Oryzias latipes: one gene and its partners. The protein of the gene in region 2 purifies or fractionates together with the protein of the main gene of each other region. This does not show direct contact. Links are inferred from orthologs where the notes say so. Each region holds a gene or a part of one and is shown on either strand. Other genes may lie near its edges. The genes, in order: calcipressin-3, serine/threonine-protein phosphatase 2B catalytic subunit gamma isoform and rcan1.

Region 1 (6,509 bases), on a different chromosome or scaffold from region 2:
TGCTTTATTTAGTTAAGTAGGTAGTTAATAAATTGGACAGGTTAATTATTTTAAGACATAACAGATGTTTCATTGTATATTTAAACTAAAATTTGATTGGTAAATGCATAGTGTGAATAATAAATTAAGTCATTAGAAGTTTTATATGTTGTATATGGTGCTTCTAACACCATCTTAGCAAGCTAAATATGAGGCCTTATATAACAGAGGGGATTTAAGCCCCCCCGCCTGTTTTTGCTGAGATTTCTTGAATTCATTTGAGAAGTGGAGCTCTGAAGTTTTGTGAATGGAAAGGGCTGAAACTTGTGTGAATAACCCCACGTCTTACTACGTTGGATAAGTTATAAATGTGTAAAAAAAAAATGATTAAAGATAATCAGAAGTACAAAATGTCATAAATTATTTAATTTATCACTTAAACTTAAAAAACCTAGATTTACTGTTACTGGTATTTTGAAAATGAAGCGTAGCTCATTTGGGACCAAAATAAATAAACTGATTTTTCATGTCATATAATGCAACCTATTTTTCCTCCAGTCATTGGAGATTTGAGTTAAACCTTCTAAATTAGCGTAAATAAAAATAACACATTTAAAGGTTTTTTTTTTTTTACATGTATTTAAAATCTTTTCCCATGATCTATGTGAAGAACTTTATCTTAAACTGTCAGTTGATTTTTTTCCCCATTTTATTTTTTAGTAAAGAAGACACAAAACTAGAAATCAGTGTAATTTTTTAAAAATCTAATAAGCATTCCATTTTAAATTTACGTAAAACCATATGGAAACATTTCCAGATTGCACCTAAAAGTAGTTAAATTGGGTGCAGAGTTTTCTCCGCTGTGGTTATGGAAGTATTGAAGCGCAACAGGTGCATCCGGGTTCGTGACACATTTGTTCAAATTAGATTAATAATTGTTGCGCAGTGAACGGAAACACCGGCGGGACTCGCACGTTAACTTTCGTGACTCACTAAGACGTTCCTGCCAAATAATAAGCCTCTTTGCCTCTCAGCGCTGTGTGCCACTTTGCTGCTTGATCGCCACCCATGTTGAGGCCCAGCATCCGCCCACTTGCTGCAATCTGATTGGTCGCTTCGAAGCTACTGGCGGCTTCTGATTGGTCTCACCTGCGTTGTCCTGACGCTGGAGCAGGCTGCGTTAGATAATCCGGAGAAAACAAACACCCAAGCATTTGTCCGCAAAAAATAAAATAAAAATAAATATGTAAAGACAAAAAGGTTTTTTTTCTCTCTCCAAAAAAATAATAATATATGTATATATGTATAAATATTTATATTTTTGTTAGTCCTCAATGGGGGTTTTTTCGGACGCTGACATAGTGAGGTGAGTGTTGGAGACACATTTGCATGTCATAAGGGAAATTATTACACAGTGGCATCGGATGTAACTGTGATTTACACTATGATTTTCACACTCTACTCCTGCATTTATATTTTCTGTAGCAATGAAACCCTTTTCTGACGTGGAGGAAAATGTTTTATTAGACATTTGCTCCAGTTCTGGCCGCGATATTGGAAAGGCAATACGTAATAGGTTACTTACGGCAGCTAAATGAAGATACCTGTCATCCGTCAAGATTTTTTCTTGTCATTTCACAGCGGATATTTAGTTGTTTTGTCCCTTTTTATTGCTCATTCTTTCTTTTATGTGCTCTTAATACTATAGTGAATCAAACATAGACTTATTTGTTACTTTAATTCGCTTGATTTTTCAAACACAATGGGGCACTTCGTCGCTCCTAACGCTAGATGGCCCTCTAACATTTGTATAAAATTGCTAAGGATGCCAAAGTGCCTTTAATCTCAAAGTATGTGGGTCAAATTTTATATTTACATTGTTTTGCTAAAGCAGTAACAATAATTTGAATTATTGTTATGTGAGTATGTCAAATTGAATGCATATATGTTTATGATTTATTTAGATTTGATTATTTATTTATTTTGTTAGAAACTTAGAAAATTTGCAATATAGAATTTGAACTTCTTTTTAACCTCTGGTGATCGTAAAACAAAAAAGAAAGAAGTACAAAGTCTGTAAAATAATTGCTAAAAGTTCCATTCATATCTTTAAAAACATGCTAAATATGTATTAACATAAAATATGAAATCCCTTTATTGTCACTGTCCACATGTGCAATGCGATTAAAAGCAGACACCATATTAGTACAAAAACATATCAATATTACAATATAATACTATAAAAAATATCTATTATGTGCAAAAATAATGTGTGCAAAATATAAACAAATGCGCTCTGTGCATCAAGTCATTAAGTAAGTAAATTGTATATTGCAGATAAAAAGATAAAAGCCTTTTGACAGATGGTAAATAAGAAAAGTATGTGTTTGTGTGTGTGTGTGCATATATTTATACATACACACACATACAGTAGCCTTGACCCAGAATTGTATCAGGACATCCGGGAGTTTAAAATAGTTGATGTCTTTACTTAAATATTCACATTTTTGTAGCTTAAATATGAAACCATAAAGTCCTATTTCCCTAAATGAGGAAAATAACAGCTTTTGTAAAGGAACATTTTGTAAAAAGCAAGAAAAATGAGATTGCGCAAAAAAGGAGTAAAAGTACCTGTATTCTTTGTTTTGAAGGTTTTCTAGATTCTTCTTCTCCGTGATTTGATGCATTTACTTGCATTAAGAAACTTTTATTTGCATGATTGTGTTGATCAGTACATCTTCCTCACTTTCCACTTCAATTCTAATCTCTTGATGCTTCCATCTTTAGTTCTCTGTGGTCCCCACCTGTTTAAAAGATCAAGGATGCTGCGTGACACTTCTAAAGGGTGGAGCAGTGGCTCAGGAGCCTACAGTAGTGATCCTGAAGAGGATGAGGATGAGGAAGAAGACATGGTGTTTGGGGAGAGCGATCAGGATGGCACGGCAGAGGAGATGATGGACCTGAGTGACCTTCCCTCTGCACTCTTTGCATGCAGTGTCCACGAGGCCGTATTCAGCCAGGAAACGCACAGGGTGAGATGCTGCAAACTCCCTTCCTTGTCCATATGTTTGCGGCATGTGTGTTTGCCTGAGTCAACGCATCACTTCTGAGTCATCTTGGTGCATGTGCCAGACCATCCAAGAATCAGATCATAGCAACAGGAGGCGAGATATCATCCGCAGCTCCAGCTCCTGCGCGTGGACGTTCAGCCACAGTTCAAGCTGCGATGCTGATCGCTCCGCAGCTAAAACCCTCACGCATTCGCACCCGACGCAGCTGTTGTCTGTTTACCAGAGAACATGAATGCAGGTCAGCAGATTACAGCATGACTTGCACAGAATCACAAGCTTCGGATCGTGTGTCTATGCATATCATCCAGTCAGTATATTGCTTATCGCGTTTGCCAAGCCTCTTGGAACAGTGCATATATGTTGCAGACGGGGGGAGAGAGTAACAGATTGGAGCCCATGAGTGCACATTCTGCACTAAAACCCCTAAAGGGTGTGTTGAGAATTCATCACAGCTGGTTATGTACAAATGCTTTGGATCATTGAATATTGTTTGCTGGAGGAAGATGAAAAATAGTTATCATTTTTCCTTTTAATCTACTTATAGTCTCCTGTGGTCTTTCCAGCTGGCATCTTTACATCCCCTTCTTTTTCTCTGAGACTTTGCCTCTTTTTACAGACTTCCTTTTTCAGTCTCCTCACCCTCTGTTTTGCTTCTCGATTGATCTTTTCTATGTATGGAAGTGCTGAACTGCAGAGGCTAAATATGGAGCATGAACAAAATCCCCTTGAAATGAATCAGCCCCACTTTTGGATGTTGTACACCCGTTGCTGTGAGCGGATGAGTCCACCCCCTCCCCTCCACTCGGTTTTTGCCTCCTAACTTCATTACCATTCACGCTTCGGCTTTTAAGTGGAAATGGCTCCCACACAATCTTAAGTTTGAACACGTCAATGAATCATTCCCAGTGTTTCTCTGAAACAAGCTGTGCCAAAAATAGGAATGTCGACATTTAATGCTTTGATCCAAATGTGATTGCAGGAGGAAAGTATAAAGTCTGAGATTAAAAGCAAAGTGCTTCAGATTTTTTTCTTTTTATGTTTACTTTCTCGTCCATCGAGAATCTGACACATTTGCCCCCCCCCAACATTATTTTTTTTATTTTTTTTCCGAATCCTTACCGAAGAACAGGGACATCGCATCCTACTTTTTAGTGTCTTTGGGCTCTTGGCATGCTCGAAACACTGACATTACTTTCTGTGTCTGGTTTCAAAGGCTTGGCTGCTGGAGGATGAGCTTTTTTCTGCTTTCATTCTTCTCCACTGAGAGGCGAATGGACAAATGTGCAGAGAGAGAGGGAGGGAGACCAGAGCCCTTACGTGTATGAGAAGCTTTTAGCACACTGCAAAATCCTTTAGCTTCTTCTTGCATAAGTGAAGCATCAGTGAAACCTAGTGGCACACTTTTATCTGCAACATTCTTTTCACTTTGCTTGCCTCAAGCGAAAATGGAGACATGGTTTAAAGTTTTCATTACTTCTTCTGGAAGCTTAGCTTTAGCCTGATAACAGAAATTAACATAATCATTATTAGTTACTTAATGATACAATCTACTAATAAATTACAGCTCATTTAGCCGGCTGAATAGGAGCAACATTATTCCAGTCCAGTGCTTCAAGTCCCACTCCGATCATCTATTGATTAATTTTAAGTGTGTTCCAGTTGATCTTTTTTTATTATGGTTATGCTATTTTTAGCCAAAATAAAAAAAAACTGTCTTTGTAGGACTCAATTACAGCAGACTTCCTACTAGCTTACACCCCCATTCTAACATTGGTGGTGCAACAAAATTGGCAAGCAATATACAGTTTTGAGCCAAATGCCAGTTCGGATGAGGAAAGCAAAGATGTGTATGGATCTAGTCGTGTACAAGTGGATGTATGAGAATGAATACATCCATTCTGACTATCCAGGGTGTACCCCGCCTTTTCACCAACAGGCTCAGGCTACCCCATGACTCCACAAGGGATATAGAGGATTTAGAAAATGGATGGATTTGTAAGTTTATTTTCATTTTTGGAAAAACAAAAACAGATTTTCGGGATAATTTTGGATGTTTGGTTAATAATGTTTTCACTTTTTATTATTATGTCCCTGTCCTTAGTAGTCGTGCAGTCAGCTCCTCACATACGAATCATTGTGGGATTCTGTATCATCCATACAAAACATGTTTCCAAAGAGGGGAGGGGTTGGGAGTCAAAGTGGTTTCTCTGCTTGCAGAGACAAAGGTCAGAGAAGCCATTATAATTTGTTCCACATAGTGTGTATGAAGCCTAATCAGCTCTGAGTAACGCTTTCATTGGGGGTCCTGCTGCTGTCTGACTGAGTTTTTCTTAACCAACCATCAATACAATAAAGCAGCTGCAAGCGTAGCAACATCGCATTTTATTTTTTTGTTGTGGGGAAAAAAAAAGTTTTGTCCAGCTCCTTATCTCTAATGGTAAAGATTGAAAGTTGGTAATACTGACTCATTTTAATTTATCAGTCTTTTATTTTTAAACTTTTGATTGCATGTAGACTTTACGTTTTTATAGGAATTCACTGTCGCAGTTCCTCATCTAATCTGCGTCATTTCCAGCTGCTCAAAGCAGCTGTTTTCAACAGTCAGGCTCAGGTGGTCTGACGCTGCACAACCTGCTCAGTATCAAACGAAGGGCAAACAAAGTTAGTGTTTAGCCAGTGAGCATAGTGGAACAAATAACAGCTCAGGATTATTCAACTCTGACCTTTTAGTGTTCCATGAATTAAAAAGCACCTTCTTTTAGGTACAAATAACACTGAAAAAAAAGGGATTTACAAAACTCCAAATAGATAGATAGATAGATAGATAGATAGATAGATAGATAGATAGATAGATAGATAGATAGATAGATAGATAGATAGATAGATAGATAGATAGATAGATAGATAGATAGATAGATAGATAGATAGATAGATAGATAGATAGAATTTATTTTAGACTCATAGTCCAATCAATAAAAAGGAGTACACAGACCCACTACATTAAAAAAGCACAGTGTCAAGTATACACAAGTTAAGAAGCAGTATATGAAAAATTGCAATAGTTAATAAAAAATACATTAATTAAAATAAATAAGAATAAGATGAAAAATAAAAACATTACTTATACATACCACACCATAAACATAATTTACAAGGACAAATAAAAAGACAGTCCCCACAGTGTTTCCACAAATTTGGCTGGAAGCGTTTGGCAATAAATGTAATGTTACTTGTATATATATATATTTTTTAAAATCACAAAATTTAGTCCATTGTGAAAACAAAAAACAGGAAAATGCATCCATCTGAGAGCCAAAACAATGGGGAAAAATGCTATAGGACTTAAATGAATTTTAAACAATTGGAAGTAACTTATGAGGTAGTAAAGACCCACTCTGATCATCTTTTAAACTCTTTTTAAAGCATTCCCAGTAGTCTTTTAATTAAAGCTGTGCCATT
Region 2 (6,655 bases):
AGAAGAACAAGCAGCTTGTAGGATTTCACAATAAAGGCTTTTATTAAATTCATTTACAGAGTAAAAGTCAGAAACATTTTCAGAGGTAATCTCACCTGTGAGTCATCTGTTCATTCTGTCATCTGTCACATATGGAGGCAGAAAAACGTGAGCCGCCCTTGATTGAAGTCATTCTCCACTTTTATATTTTTGGAGGATGACGTGAATTCACCTGGACAGGTGACATCAGAGGGCTTCCCTGAAGGCCCTGAGTCTTCCTGCTGCTCATCCTTACCTCCTTGACTTTTGACCTTCACAGTGTCACCTCGCTTGACCTCTTTGCATTTAGAGTTTCCCTTGAAACTTGGGCTGAATTTCCACTGCAGGTCTTGATGCCCAAATTTGATTTTTTCTGACTATATCCGATTTTTTTGATGACCCGTATCCGATATTTGCATTTACACTACACAATGCTGAGACTATCAAACGTAGACGTTCTGAGGACTACATAGCAGCATTTCCGCCTTCCACAGACCTGAGCACTGACCGCACGGATTTAAAACATTATGAGCGAGCAGGCCCTTAATAATAATCATAACAGTAAGAAAAGCACATTTAGAAGATGCGTGTTGGTCCAAACGGCAAACGTTTAGCATGGCGAAACCCTCCCCTTTTTGTTGTGTTTTTGTGTGACTGTGGTTGTCATGGAGGCAACGCAGCGACGGAAGGAGGCGTTGCCTGTGGCGCTCCAGGATGAGGCAGGAGAGGGGATGTGTGGGAGAGGAACAAGGAGGGATGCTGGGCCGGCTTATGGTCTCTCTCTGAGTTTGTACTAACAGTTTGATCCAAGCAAAGAAACAAACGGCTTCTAGCTGTTCCAGAGCAACGGTGTCCCGTTTGATTAGTTACCGTCTGCGTCCCGACCGGGACCCGACCGGAAATAACGAAGCCTGAGGCTGAAAGGTAACAGCTGATGGGGCTCCAGCTGTCCTCCAACAGCAACATCAGCACAAAAGCACCTTAATAAGTCATGTGATCTCAGTGGGTGGTGTCCTGCGTTGACGTCACTGACCTACGACTCGCATTCACTGGGGAATATCCGATTTGTCTGCTTACATGGCACACGCAGACGCACGTATCCGATTCATATCCGATTTATTTCCACATATGAATGAGGCCTGAATCCGATCTGAGAAAATCTGAATCCATGCGCTTTTGTCCTGCTTCCACGTTCACCGGTCATATCCCATCTGTGCCACATAAGAGGAAAAAATCGGAATTGGGTCACTTGAACCATGCAGTGGAAATGCGGCCTTAGTCTTCTTCCTGGAAGCTGCTGGACGTTTCCTCCAGGAAACAGACTCAGAGAGAATCCAGGTTGGTGAACCTCTCCTGACCTCTGTGTCTGACCTCTGACCTCTGTGTCTGACCTCTGGCTGACAAGCAGCAGTTGTTTAGATCTCAGTGTGAGGCCTTCATTCACGCTCCAGACAATAAAGAGGACCACAGAGAACTGGACCAGGCCTTCAGAACCCTGGACTTTGTTCTGATGATGTTATGTGACACACTGATCAGTCTGGATGACCTCGGAAGGGTCAAACATCTGAAAACTCAAATGTTGCGTTCGTGTAGCTCGAATAGCAACCACCAGAGGGAGCTGGACCCCACCGCGGGTCTTTATGGTCCAGTCCATCAGAACCAGAACCACGACTCCATTTAAAACGTCAAAGTAAAAATTAAAAATGAGTACAACAAACATTTATTCATCGTGACTTTTAATCCAACACACAGAAACAATGCAAACTGCTTGTGATTCTACATGTAAAATAGATTTTAAAATATGAATTTCCTTATTATTTGCATAACAAATATTCTGGTCTGAAATAGATTTGGAAATGCGTGTCTAAAAGGGGAACTGAACCACATCCTTCTTGAACTTGGTTAGAAAAACTTTTCATCTCGGGATTTTGATGAAAACCTTTCTGAAATCCTTTTCTTCTCTGATTCCGTTTCACATTTGCGTGACTCTGCGGGCTTTGGAGCGGAGAAACGGAAACCACATCCTGGACTGGAACCGGCTCTCTGATTGGTCAGGAGGCTGCGCATGCGCCTGTTGCGACGCTGTCTGAACTGGTGGTGTCGCGCAGAGTTCTGCTCCCCAAAATGAGCTGATGCCCCACGCAGAGGTCACGGTGGTCCTGAAGGCAACGATCATTTCTGCGAGTCCTCCTGGAAAAATCTCTGAAATGCCATGAATTTAATATCATATAATCTATACATGCATTTCTCCATCCTGCCTGTTCTCCATATGTGCAGAAAAATACGTTTTCTAAAGTTTCTGTGTAACAAAACTGAGAAAAAATACATCTTTTAAAGTGTTTTGTTGTATCTTAAAATCTCGCGCCGCTTGTGTTTTTTTTTGGACCCCGCAGCAGCTCACGAAAAGATGCGGAAGCGTCGAACCACAACACTACATTACCCACAACCACCTGCTCAGAATCATGTTGTAGGAAATCCGCTTGCGGCGGATTATTGTAATCCGACAGCGGGTCTGAACGGCACATCGGATCACCATTAGAGACAGACACGAATCCGAAAGGCAGCGGCCCGAAACAGATGCGCGGCGCCCGATACTAACGGGATCAAGGCGGGCTATGATCTGAGGCGCGGCGCGGCGCGCGTGCTGGAGCCTGACGTCGGCGCTCTCCGGGCCGCTTCCTTCTCCATCGATTCAGCCCGTTTAGAGTGACGGCGGCTCGGGATTCCCGCCCCGTGTAGCACGGCGCTGGGCACCGCTCGCTTCTGCCGGACGAGAACACCCCCGTACCGTCCCGGTCCGGGTTTTAGTCCGGGTCCGCCTGGAAGCCGAGCCCGGGCGTGTTCTGTGCTGCCGCGAGCCGCGCCGTGAGCTCGCGCGGCTAGCCCGCTCCAGCTAGCTGCTAGCTAGTTCGAAATTTAGAGTTTGGTTCGGAACCCAGTTCCAGTTCGGGCCGCTGCTCGCTTAGCAGGAAGATGTCGGCTAAAGACCAGAACAAGCTGTCCACCGTAGAAAGACCCATTAAAGGTGAGTTCCTGTCGGTTTTTGACATTTTTCTGCGGGAGCAGGAAGTCAGCGGGGGCTAACTGCGGGCTAAGTGCGGGACAGCGGACTCTCGAGTCCCGCAGACGGACGGTTCACTCTGTCGGTCCGGCAGGTTGGCTGACCGAACCGGTCCCCGTACAGCTGCCTTTTGGTCCGGGGGGGGGGGGGGGGGTCATGTCTGTCGCCGTCTGGAAGCTCCAGGACAGGCGGGCTCAGGGGGAGAGACGGTACCGGCTCTTATATACCGAATTTCTTAGGGAGCAGGTCGAGTCCCGGGCTCGTTCCTGAACAGACGGTTCCGGACGTGCGGGTCCAGAGCTCTGCCGCACGCGGGGTCAGGGCGTGGTGTTTGGGTGTTGACAGGTCGGGCGTCTGCGTTTGATGGGTTTAGCGGGTTAGAGAGGCTTATCTGCGGGAGAGCGCCGCGGCATTAAAGCTGCATCCCTCAGGAGGTCATGGACCGCCCGTGACCGGCTCACCTGTGCAGGACTGTGGCTGCTGCTCCACCTGTTTCCATGACAACCGCGCGGGGGGGGGGGGGGGGGTCAGCGAACCTGTACAGGTGAGGCGGGGCACACCTGCCCAGACCTGCAGGGTTTCTAGGAAACCTTTGGATGCACAAGCGGTTCTCCTGAGCCTCAGAACGTCCCACGTTCTGGTCGTATTTGGGTTCTAAATCTCCATCGAGGGGAGTTGTGGACTTCGGACTTCGCCGTGGTCTGTCATGGCGTTCTCTGGAGGTCTTGGTTCACGTTGGCGGCTGTCTGGTTTAGGAGCTGATGATGATGATGCTGAGTGACGGCGGGATCTCCCAGAATGCCTCTGGCCTCTGGCCGTGGCTGTGGATCAGTGACTGATCTGTTCTGGCAGCTTCAGGATGGTCATCAGTCATGAGTGACGGAGTTGAGCCTGAGGACGGGCGGGCCGGAGCGGGTCTGGGTCATCGGGCCAGCGATGAGAGAGATGCCGCTCCGCAGCGAGCCCAACATCAGGACCACACCCCACCACACCCCCCAGTGTGAAAGTCAGACAGCCTGTAGGGTGAAGCTGCTGGGGGGGGGGTATAAACCATGAATTATGAAACTTGTCATTAGTCTAAATAATGCAGCGAGTGTTTTAACGTTCTAAGAAAACTGCAAACCAGGAATGGATGAATGAATGGATGAATCGCCTTCATTGTCATTGTATCTGCTCAGGAGAAGGGGGGGGGGGGGATGTTGATGCTAAAACTGGATAAACTTTTGGCCCAAGTGGGACAGGGCAGAAACACAGAACCCAGAGCTGCATCTGCCGTTGACTGCAGGCTATCCATGCATGCTGGTGTCTGCGCACTCTGCATGTGTCTGCACGCCTCAGCACATCTGAACGTCCGTGGCAGCGTAAAGACCAAACACGACACTTCTCAGAAGACGAGTCAGAACAAAGTCCTGGAGACCAGAAACTATGATGCTTCTGAACACGAGGAGACGTTTGACTCGCACTTTAACGGGCACGGCGGCAAAAGCTCATGGTATGGGCTGCCAAAGTAGTAGAGGTGGTGGAGGTCCTTTGTAAGGAAACTGGACCCATGGGTCCAGAAGAAGACTGACATGCAGAAGAGCTGCAATGCTCTGGGGAAAGTCTAGCTCAGCAGGAACTGGATCTCCTTCAGAACCACTACCGGGTCAGACTGGACAGCAGCTGGATTTAGCTGTTCTTTTCAGAACCTGTGATGATCAGAAGAAGTTCTTCCTCCTGGTTCTGGATCGAGTCCGTCGGTGTGAAGTCACTTAGTGACTCTGTTGATCATCAATAAGAGCATATTTGATGCTCCGCCCACTTTATGTAGACACTTTTTCAGAACCAGCATGTTTTGAGAAATAGATTTGCGGGGGGGGGGGGGTTGTTATACTCTTGGGTCATCTGAAGGGTGAAGCTCTGAAGGGGGGGCGTTCGTGGCGTTAGGAGACTGCAGTGAACATCATCTTGATCCCTCTCCTCTGGACCTTCATTTTTCTACCACTCTCTGGGTAGGGGGGGTTCCATCTTGGTTCTGGTCTTGTTGCCCACCTGGTTTCAGTCTGAGTTCTTCCTCCTCCCTGTCAGAGGCTGGAGAACCCTCCTCCTCTGCTGCAGAGATGGTACGATCTGAATGTGACCTGGTTTGGTTTCAGCTAAAGTGGATCACTCGCTGCTCATGGGGGGGGGGGGGGGGGGGGTTCTGGTTCTGACCTGATTAAGTTTTGTGAAGGAACAGAGTCTGTTAGCGACACCCCCCTCCCCCCGAAACACCTGCAGAGATGTCAGGCTCCTCCCACAGGTGTCAGCGTCACGCAGGTTGAAGAAGCTCCTCAGGAAACAGCTGTTTGCTCCGTGTGTCACATGCACATGTGTGTCTCTGGACACACGTGCACGTACGCACATGCTCGTTCGCACATGCTCGTTCGCACATGCACGGACACGCACATGCACGGACGCACTTGCATGGACGCACATGCATGGACACGCACATGCACGTTCGCACATGCACGGACGCGCACATGCACGTTCGCACATGCACGGACGCGCACATGCACGGACCCACATGCACGGATGCACACATGCACAGACGCATGTACAAATAGGCTGTTTCTCTTAACCTTTACAGGGAAAGGTTAAGAGAAAATCTGTTTTTCAAAATAAAAGGATCTGACAGGAAGTCCAGTCTGACTGTCAGAAATGTCTGCAGACGTTTTTCAAACTGTCAAAGTAGTTAGTGTGTGAGGGGGGGTCCTGCCCCAGAGGGAGGGGGAGCGGCATGTTTGTTCATGCAGGTTGAAAGCCTGAGTCAGCGGGAGCTTTGGGTTCCTGTTGGGCCAGTTTGTGGAGGAGGAGGAGGAGCTGCTGGTATTTCCTCCAGGGCACAGCCCCCCCCATTACACAGAGAGGAAGAGTTGGTGTTAACCATTGTGACTCCACCCCCGTGGCGTTCCAAACAGGAAGTACCTGCAAAAACCCATAGACGTCCATAGAGAAATAAAATGGCGTGTGCCGCTGTCTGCCCCCCCTCGTTGCTGACCCCTGCTCAACGCTGTACAGGGACTCTGATCCTGCTGGGACTGAGGCTCCTCATAACCCCCCCACACGGGGGGGGGGGGGGGCATGCAGTTGACCAGTTTGGGCTTCAGTGTGTTGCCCAAGGACATGTGACTGTTGGAAATTGAACCACCAACCTTTCCGTTGTCAAAAAGCTGCTTGCTGGTTTGTGTCATGCTGCGTCCCCCCCCCCCCCCCCTCATCAGAGCTGCTGCTGTCTCCCTGTCTTTAGCGGTGCCGTACCCCCCCGGCACCCGCCTGTCCGTCAAAGACCTGTACGTGGACGGGAGGCCCAGCCTGGAGGTGCTGAAGGCCCACCTGGTGAAGGAGGGGCGCCTGGAGGAGGAGACGGCCCTGCGGATCATCAACGAGGGGGCGGCCATCCTGCGGCAGGAGAAGTGCATGCTGGAGGTGGAGGCTCCCATCACAGGTGACCCTCACACCCCACCCCACCCCCACCTGCACGGCCATGTTAGAACCCAAAGGTTTACATTTCACAAAGTTAAAATCTGATTAATATGAGTGTTATTATTCAACGTT
Region 3 (6,802 bases), on a different chromosome or scaffold from region 2:
ATAAGATTCACAAGAGATCGATGTTTTGTGCGAAGGCACAGCCTTGTATGAAAGTTGTGTAAAATTGATTCTAGGCTATTACTGCAATATTTCAAAAATAAAGAAAAACAACATCCTCATTTGATATTCGTCACTTTTCGGCCAAGTGTTTTAATTATTATTTGGCTTCGGCCAAACATTTTCACTAGTTAAAAGAATGAATGGTGGTTCTGTTTCGGCTTGATTTGAGTGGCGACTGATCCCAGAGGGCAGTGGGGCTTTCTCTAGATTAAAGAGCTTCCTGTTGACGTTTCTGAAGTGCTTTCACTAAAGCCTGAAGTGGTTAAAACTTTAGATCCATCTACTGATGGAGGTTCTAAACTCAATCCAGCTCAGGTGACTGAGAGACATGGAACCAGACTTGGATCCACTGTAGGAGGTCTTCATTCACTTGCTTCAGAGTTTGAAGGGATCTACTGTCGCTGGGTGGTAACTGACCACAAACTCCAGTAAATGTCCGTCTCTTCCAAAGAGTTAGCATTAACCCATAATGCTAACGCTTTGCCTGAGATCTGGCTTGAAGGGCAGAAACGAGCTTTGAAGCGATTCTGGAGGGTATCTGTCAGCATTTAGGTGACTCTCAGGTAACACGAGATGATTAATAGAAGCCAGTCAATGGGGCTGCAATGAATCTCTAAATTCTGGGATTGTCGCAATTTGTTTCAGAAAAAACGCGGACGATTTTTTTGTGACAATCAAGATTCCTGATCCACAATCTTTATAAATATAGTAGAGTATGGTGGACAATACCAGTCAGGCAATGCAATCATTGCTCTAAAAAGCAGAATTATGAGGGATTTTAAGTATATTCGCTACTGCCCCTGTCAACCAGTGTGCTGCTACACATTATTGTGCTGTGGGAAATTGCCCTCATTAACTGATCTAAAAACATTTTCCATCTCCAGGAAATCAGCTCTGTGTTCATCCAAACAGGCCCTGATAAAACACTGAGTAGTTAGGAATATGAAAGGTCTTAAAATACTTTTTTCTTTGTGTTTATTTGATTCTATTAAAGAAAGATAAGAATCACGGTACTGCGATTTAGCTGTAGCTTCAGCTGTTTTAGGAAAAGTCCCGCCCCTTTAACTGTCTCCACCAATCATTCTTGAAGGCTGAATCACACGTCATCAGTCTGACCAATCAGAAGTGATTAAAGTCCTCGCTTCCTTGATCCAATTTGGCTCGTAAAGTCGCTCAGTTCTAACAAAAATACCAGCTAACGCTCGTCTTTAGCGGTGTAGCTTTCCACAGAATCCGGTATCTGACTGTGTAAAAAGTGAACAAAACAAAGAAGCTCAGAGACATTAGCCTTTCTGCCCTTTTGCAGCTGTTTGCACTACATCTCCCATGATGCATTGGGTTAAAGTGACAGCATCTCAGCGCACAATGAACCTTTGTTGTTAAACGTCTTGACACCACAACGAACGCACATCCAACAGTTTTTAAATCTTCTAACTTAACTTTTATTACATCTTTTAGAAAAACAGCTGCAGCTTCCAGCTTTTTCTGCCACAATAATTATCACAAAAATGCATGTGAGATTGTGGAGGGGCTGTAGATCAATAAAGACTTTGAGTTTCTCCAATTTAAAAAAAAAACTTTTTGGATGCTGGTGTGCCGCAGGACTTTTGTCAAGGTTAAAGTGTGCCGTGGCTCAGAAAAGGTTGAAAAACAGTTGCTTAGACCATCCTTCCGGTAAGAAAAAACTCCTGGGAAAAAAAAAGGGATTTGTAAAATAAAGGACAGGCGATGTACCAGAACTCTCAGAGAAGAATGAGTTTATCTAACGCTAACACTACATGTTTTAATAGTCCAGCAGATGAGCTTCATCCAGATGGAGTTGGGGGATGGCTGGGGGTGCAAGACAAGGCAGAGGCAGGATCCATGGCCAAGTAAGTCTACTCAATGCTAAAGCGATCCTCTCACAGCAGAATCCCATGGTCCTGCTGATACCAACCCCTCGTGGAAAAGGAGCAGCTTTAAAGACGAACAACAAATAAAAAGACAAAAAAACAAAGTTGTGCCGTGGATTTTCTTAATGCTGGTCTACAGCCCTGCAGGCACGATCCGCTTCACCCGCCAGTCAACACCTAAACCACGCGGTGTCCTCGAGTCACTCCGCTTTTTCCATTCAACCAAATAAAAACACCCCCATCAGTGAGTTCAGGCCTGCACCAGTCATCAAAAACCGGTAAAGCTCCCATTTCTTTTTATTTGATTTTCCAATTTTTAATGTGATGCCATAAATAAAGTTACAAAAACAAGCTGTACTGTTATGGCTAAACCAAACGTCAGCCTCCAGATCTAATAAAAGATGCACCTTTATTTTGAAAATAAGATAAAAATGAAGGAACAGTGATGGAAAGCTTTGCAGCACAACTAAAGTGTTCCATAACAGTCTGTATGATGCTTCAGCTCCTTTTTCCAATGTTTTGTTTACTCAATGTAATTATTACAGACCAAAAAGGAGCTTCATGAATGAAGAGGAGCGGCTAAAGACGAACGTTACAAAAAGCTAAAATCAAATAAATATGATGTTTGAGCAAAACAAGACATTTATAGCTAAATCACGTTTTTTTTTTTTTTTGCTTTAAAACTACATTTATTTTGGAAATACGACTTTTCCATCACGTTCTGAAAAACGGAAATGAACGACATTCGGCAAAAACAAACACTGAAAAGCAGAGGTAGGTGGACGGCAGTGCGTAACACCTGAATACGTTTTTCTGTTGGTAAGCAACACCTGAATACGTTTTTCTGTTGGTAAGCATCATGGATCAAAGCAGGCGGGACGGACGGAAAAACCAAAGATCTGCACGTCTACCTTCCCTTTCCTACTGTTTCAGAAAGGCGGAGTCAGAACGTCAGTCTGATCACGTAAACACAGGAAAAGACAACGTATGCAGTGTGAACAGTCAGAAATAATCTGCTCGGTTTGGTTTTTCACACCACTGCAAGAATTTACAGCGGGAAATCAAACAAAAAATAAAGAGGGCACGTTTTGTGGGTAGAGTCCACAAACCGACAGAACTTTGTGTAGCAACGCGTGAACGCAGGTGTATCGAACACGGAAGCTGGAAACACAAATTTACATCGAGATTTCATTGAAAGTCACTTGAACATGTGTTACCAGGCCTGAAGTGAACATAGCTAAAAGCTTTGATTCCCACTAGATGGGCAAATATGAAATACCTTTTTTCCAAGTAAAGAAAAATACTTTAATTTATTTTTTTTAATCATCAGAACACAATAAACAGTCTTCGTTATTGCTTTTATTTATTGTGTTTGGGTCAAAATTGACCCCTTTACACAGTTTGAAAACAGGTCAATTTGGACCCAAACACATTATAAAGGTTGAGAGGTTTAACTTTGTGAAAACAGTGCTGTCATATTTGCCATTAAAAACTATAAAGATATCATCGGTAGTCCATCCGAATTGTTTTAAAATCTAGAGCACACATAGTCCTGCACTGTAGAGGGTTTTACTAGTGAGGGAGGAGGGAATTCAGACACAGCCCTCATCAATATGGGCATTTTACTGCAACAATTTATAAACCCACTGTGTTCTGATGATAAAAACATTCATGGTTAAATTAAAAAAAATACATTTGTGTTCAAACGCAATGCATTGTGGGCTATATTTGCATGTCTCGTAAGGATGAATGCATCTCGGCGGAATGGCTCTATCTAGCGGGGAACCCGCTGAACTGAACCTCCCGGCTTTGTTTCTCCCGGGTCAGGCCGGCGCCAGCGCGGTCAGAACCGGCTAAAAACCCCGCCTCGCGGCGCTTACCTTCACCCCTCCGTAGGCGAACAGGTCCGGCGGGACTTTACAGGCGATCAGGGCGTCCGGCAGGTCGGTGAAGCGGACTTCCACCGCGGCCTCCTCCTTCTTGTCGTCTGCCACCTTCGCCTGCTGCATTCCGGCGCTCTGGACCTGAGAACACGGAAGACCCCGAGAGTCACGGCGCGCGCACCGACGAACCTGCTTCGCGTGGGTGCAGAACTCACCCGCGAGGAGGCGCGGAAGAATCCGAACCGAGTCAGTCTAAACGAACCTGCGCGAGAACAGACGGCGGGGCCGAACCAGCCCCTCCTCTTCCGTCTGTGTTGGAGCGCGTGCAGCTGCCTGGAGGTCAGCTGGATTTGCTGCAAGCTAGCTGGTCTGTGACGGATTAATTTAAACCGGCGTTAACCTGTTTTCATCCACCATGGAGGACTCCGGTTATAAACTTCCGGTTCTGCTCCTTCTTGACTTTCAATTGGCAAACGGGGCGGGGCTATATCGCCACCTGTCGATCTGGAGTATGAACTGCAGTGCTGTGTTTTAGCAAAGAAATGTTGTTGTTTTTTAAGATTAAAAACGATTTTTTCTGATTTACATATAAAAGTATGTTTAAAGGGAAATCTATGTAAAAAGGTGTGTATTCTTAAGGCAGATCTCATCTGTTCACAAATCTACGCAACAACTTGTAAACATTTAATTCCAAACATATTTTTTACTCAAAGGTCTATAACCAGGTTAGCATTTTCTCTATGACACTTTTTAAGGTGTTAAAGCACAAGGGCATCATGGAAAGAATCTTAGGTAGCTGCTAAACCTCACATAACCACTGTAAAGCCAAAAACCTGAACTATGTAATCAAAACACTAAGCTTCAGTGGAGAAAAAAGGGAAAAAATACAAATATCAATAGAAAAAGTGGCTTTTTTTGTCACAACAAGACACTGATTGGTCACTTTCCAAATGTTTAAGTCCATCAACCAAACACCTCATGATTTACTTTTACTAATCTACTTTTTTCTCATAGTAGTGGAATTTTCATTTGTTTCATCTCCATAGCAACCATTTGATTTTTTTATTGGCCCAGAGGTAACAAGCGTGTCTATGTAATTTTTCAGAAGAATCAGCAAAAATAAACTTTGGGATTTCCTTGGCAACTGAGGTTTTTTATCGGGAATGAATCTGCCTCCAGAGATGAGGTGGAACGTCAACCAACAACCTCCTCCTGAACACGTCAAAGACCAAAGAAATGATAATAGACCACAGGAGGAAGAAAACGGACATACTGCAACTCTTCATCAGCGAGGACTGTGTTGAGGAGAGCCTGACCTGCAGTACAAACACCAGTGAGCTGCTGAAAAAGGCCCAGCAGAGACTGCATTTCCTGAGGTTACAAAGGAAGAATAACATTAACAAAAGACTGCTGGTGTCAATTCAGAAACCACTATAGAAACTTCGAAAACCAGCATTTTTTCCTGGCAAGTTAAAAGGCGACTGTACTACATGTACATTTTTTTAGGGGAAAATTCAAGATGGCTGGCTCTTACCATGGTCAAAGGTAAATGATTATCATTGCAGATGGGGAATTCCTCCACTACTCACTACTTAGTGGACCATATGCTGCGTTCGCCATTTTGTAGAGCTGTCCGAATCTACAATTTCACAATTGAAATTTCCCAGAAGTCTCTGCGAAAAACCAGCCTATATTTTAGCAAAATGTGAAAATGGCCAAATTCTACATTTCGCCCACCAAGCCGTAGGTCCTGCAGCCGTCCTCCCATCTTTACTGGATTTAACAATATTTTTTGGCTCGATTCATTTTTTTAAAAGATTTTTATCCTGCTGTGATGTCATCATCTGTTGGGGGGGGAGGGTGTCGTTCACTATGTTAAAAATTCCTTTTCCCTCCAGGAATGAGGTGTCTAGATCTCTATTGAAGTCTATAGGATTTTTATGGGTACTAGAAAGTGACGGGGGAGGGGTCGCTCAGTCCAGTTCTCATATAGTCAATGGTTCATGTTGTTCATTAAAGGAGTGATCAAATCTCGATAAGGTTTAACAGAAAAAGGGGCTCATGGCGTGACGCATCGGTAGAGCTGCTCCTTCCTGGTGGTTGGAACCGGGCCAGATGGTCCTGAACTCCTGCCGGTGTTTTCCTCAGTGAAGTGAGAGTGAAGGCGGTGTTCATTCCAGGGCGGCAGAGGGGTTTAAGCCTCTGGTCATGTGGGGATCAGCCGTCACCTAATCCCCTCAGGAGGGAGAGAAGGAGCCAGAGAGGAGGAAAGTCGGCGTGATGCCTTCACGGAAATAACCGGACAATTCTTATTTTTGACTTATTTTTAATGATTTTCACATCGTAGTTTGCTTTTCGTAGCATTTGAGACATCCCAAAGAGTGGAACATTGACTTTTTTTCTCCTTTAGTACTTTCTGCTCATGAAAAACTGCATTTCCCCTCCAGATTTTTAAACTTTTTTTTGCTTTGATTTCTATTTATTCACACCTTGGATTCTTTTCACTATGCTTCCTTAAACCTTGTGTGGACCACCGGCCTGATTCCCTAAACCTGCCATCCTGGACTCTGGTTCCCTGCTGGTATTTGGCTTCCTCCCTCTGCCCTCATGGCTCAGTCCAGCTCCACCACAAACCCAGACGTGTCAAACAGAGCGCTCGAACACAGCCCGCTGTCCATCTGCTCAGACCTGGACGCCCAGGAGGACGTGGAGGATGAGGAGGTGGAGCTGGCCGAGGAGGTGGGTGAGGACGTCCTGATGATGGGCGAAGCTGAGGGTGGAGCTGAAGACCAGAACGGTATAGAAATGTCCCTGCTGTCAAACGTAAGAAGAAAGACGGAGATGGAAACAGCTGAGGAGGAGGAGAGGGTTGTGGAAGTGACAGAATGTCCTGACCTTTTTGTATCAGTCGAGGCTGATGGAGTAGACCTCCAAATCAGTGGTGACCACGAAGCACCACAAAGGGTG

The links.
Region 1: the proteins of serine/threonine-protein phosphatase 2B catalytic subunit gamma isoform (region 2) and calcipressin-3 purify together in Homo sapiens (affinity purification with mass spectrometry; 3 studies listed by BioGRID and IntAct, counting the BioPlex papers as one, with this or other methods). This does not show direct contact. The link is inferred for Oryzias latipes from reciprocal best matches to the Homo sapiens genes PPP3CC and RCAN3.
Region 3: the proteins of serine/threonine-protein phosphatase 2B catalytic subunit gamma isoform (region 2) and rcan1 purify together in Homo sapiens (affinity purification with mass spectrometry; 3 studies listed by BioGRID and IntAct, counting the BioPlex papers as one, with this or other methods). This does not show direct contact. The link is inferred for Oryzias latipes from reciprocal best matches to the Homo sapiens genes PPP3CC and RCAN1.

What each region holds. Positions count from the first base shown.
Region 1 is NC_019880.2:9,450,267-9,456,775, forward strand, and holds the start of calcipressin-3, read left to right. Parts: upstream 1-2,773; 5' UTR 2,774-2,801; coding exon 2,802-3,011; intron 3,012-6,509.
Region 2 is NC_019870.2:652,152-658,806, forward strand, and holds the start of serine/threonine-protein phosphatase 2B catalytic subunit gamma isoform, read left to right. Parts: upstream 1-2,462; 5' UTR 2,463-2,991; coding exon 2,992-3,043; intron 3,044-6,347; coding exon 6,348-6,545; intron 6,546-6,655. UniProt on the Homo sapiens protein: Calcium-dependent, calmodulin-stimulated protein phosphatase which plays an essential role in the transduction of intracellular Ca(2+)-mediated signals. Dephosphorylates and activates transcription factor NFATC1.
Region 3 is NC_019860.2:1,241,922-1,248,723, forward strand, and holds the start of rcan1 (calcipressin-1), read right to left. Parts: upstream 4,281-6,802; 5' UTR 4,098-4,280; exon of another isoform or gene 4,051-4,097; intron 3,977-4,050; 5' UTR 3,962-3,976; coding exon 3,833-3,961; intron 1-3,832. Other genes in the region: trichohyalin, read left to right, coding at 6,443-6,802. UniProt on the Homo sapiens protein: Inhibits calcineurin-dependent transcriptional responses by binding to the catalytic domain of calcineurin A. Could play a role during central nervous system development.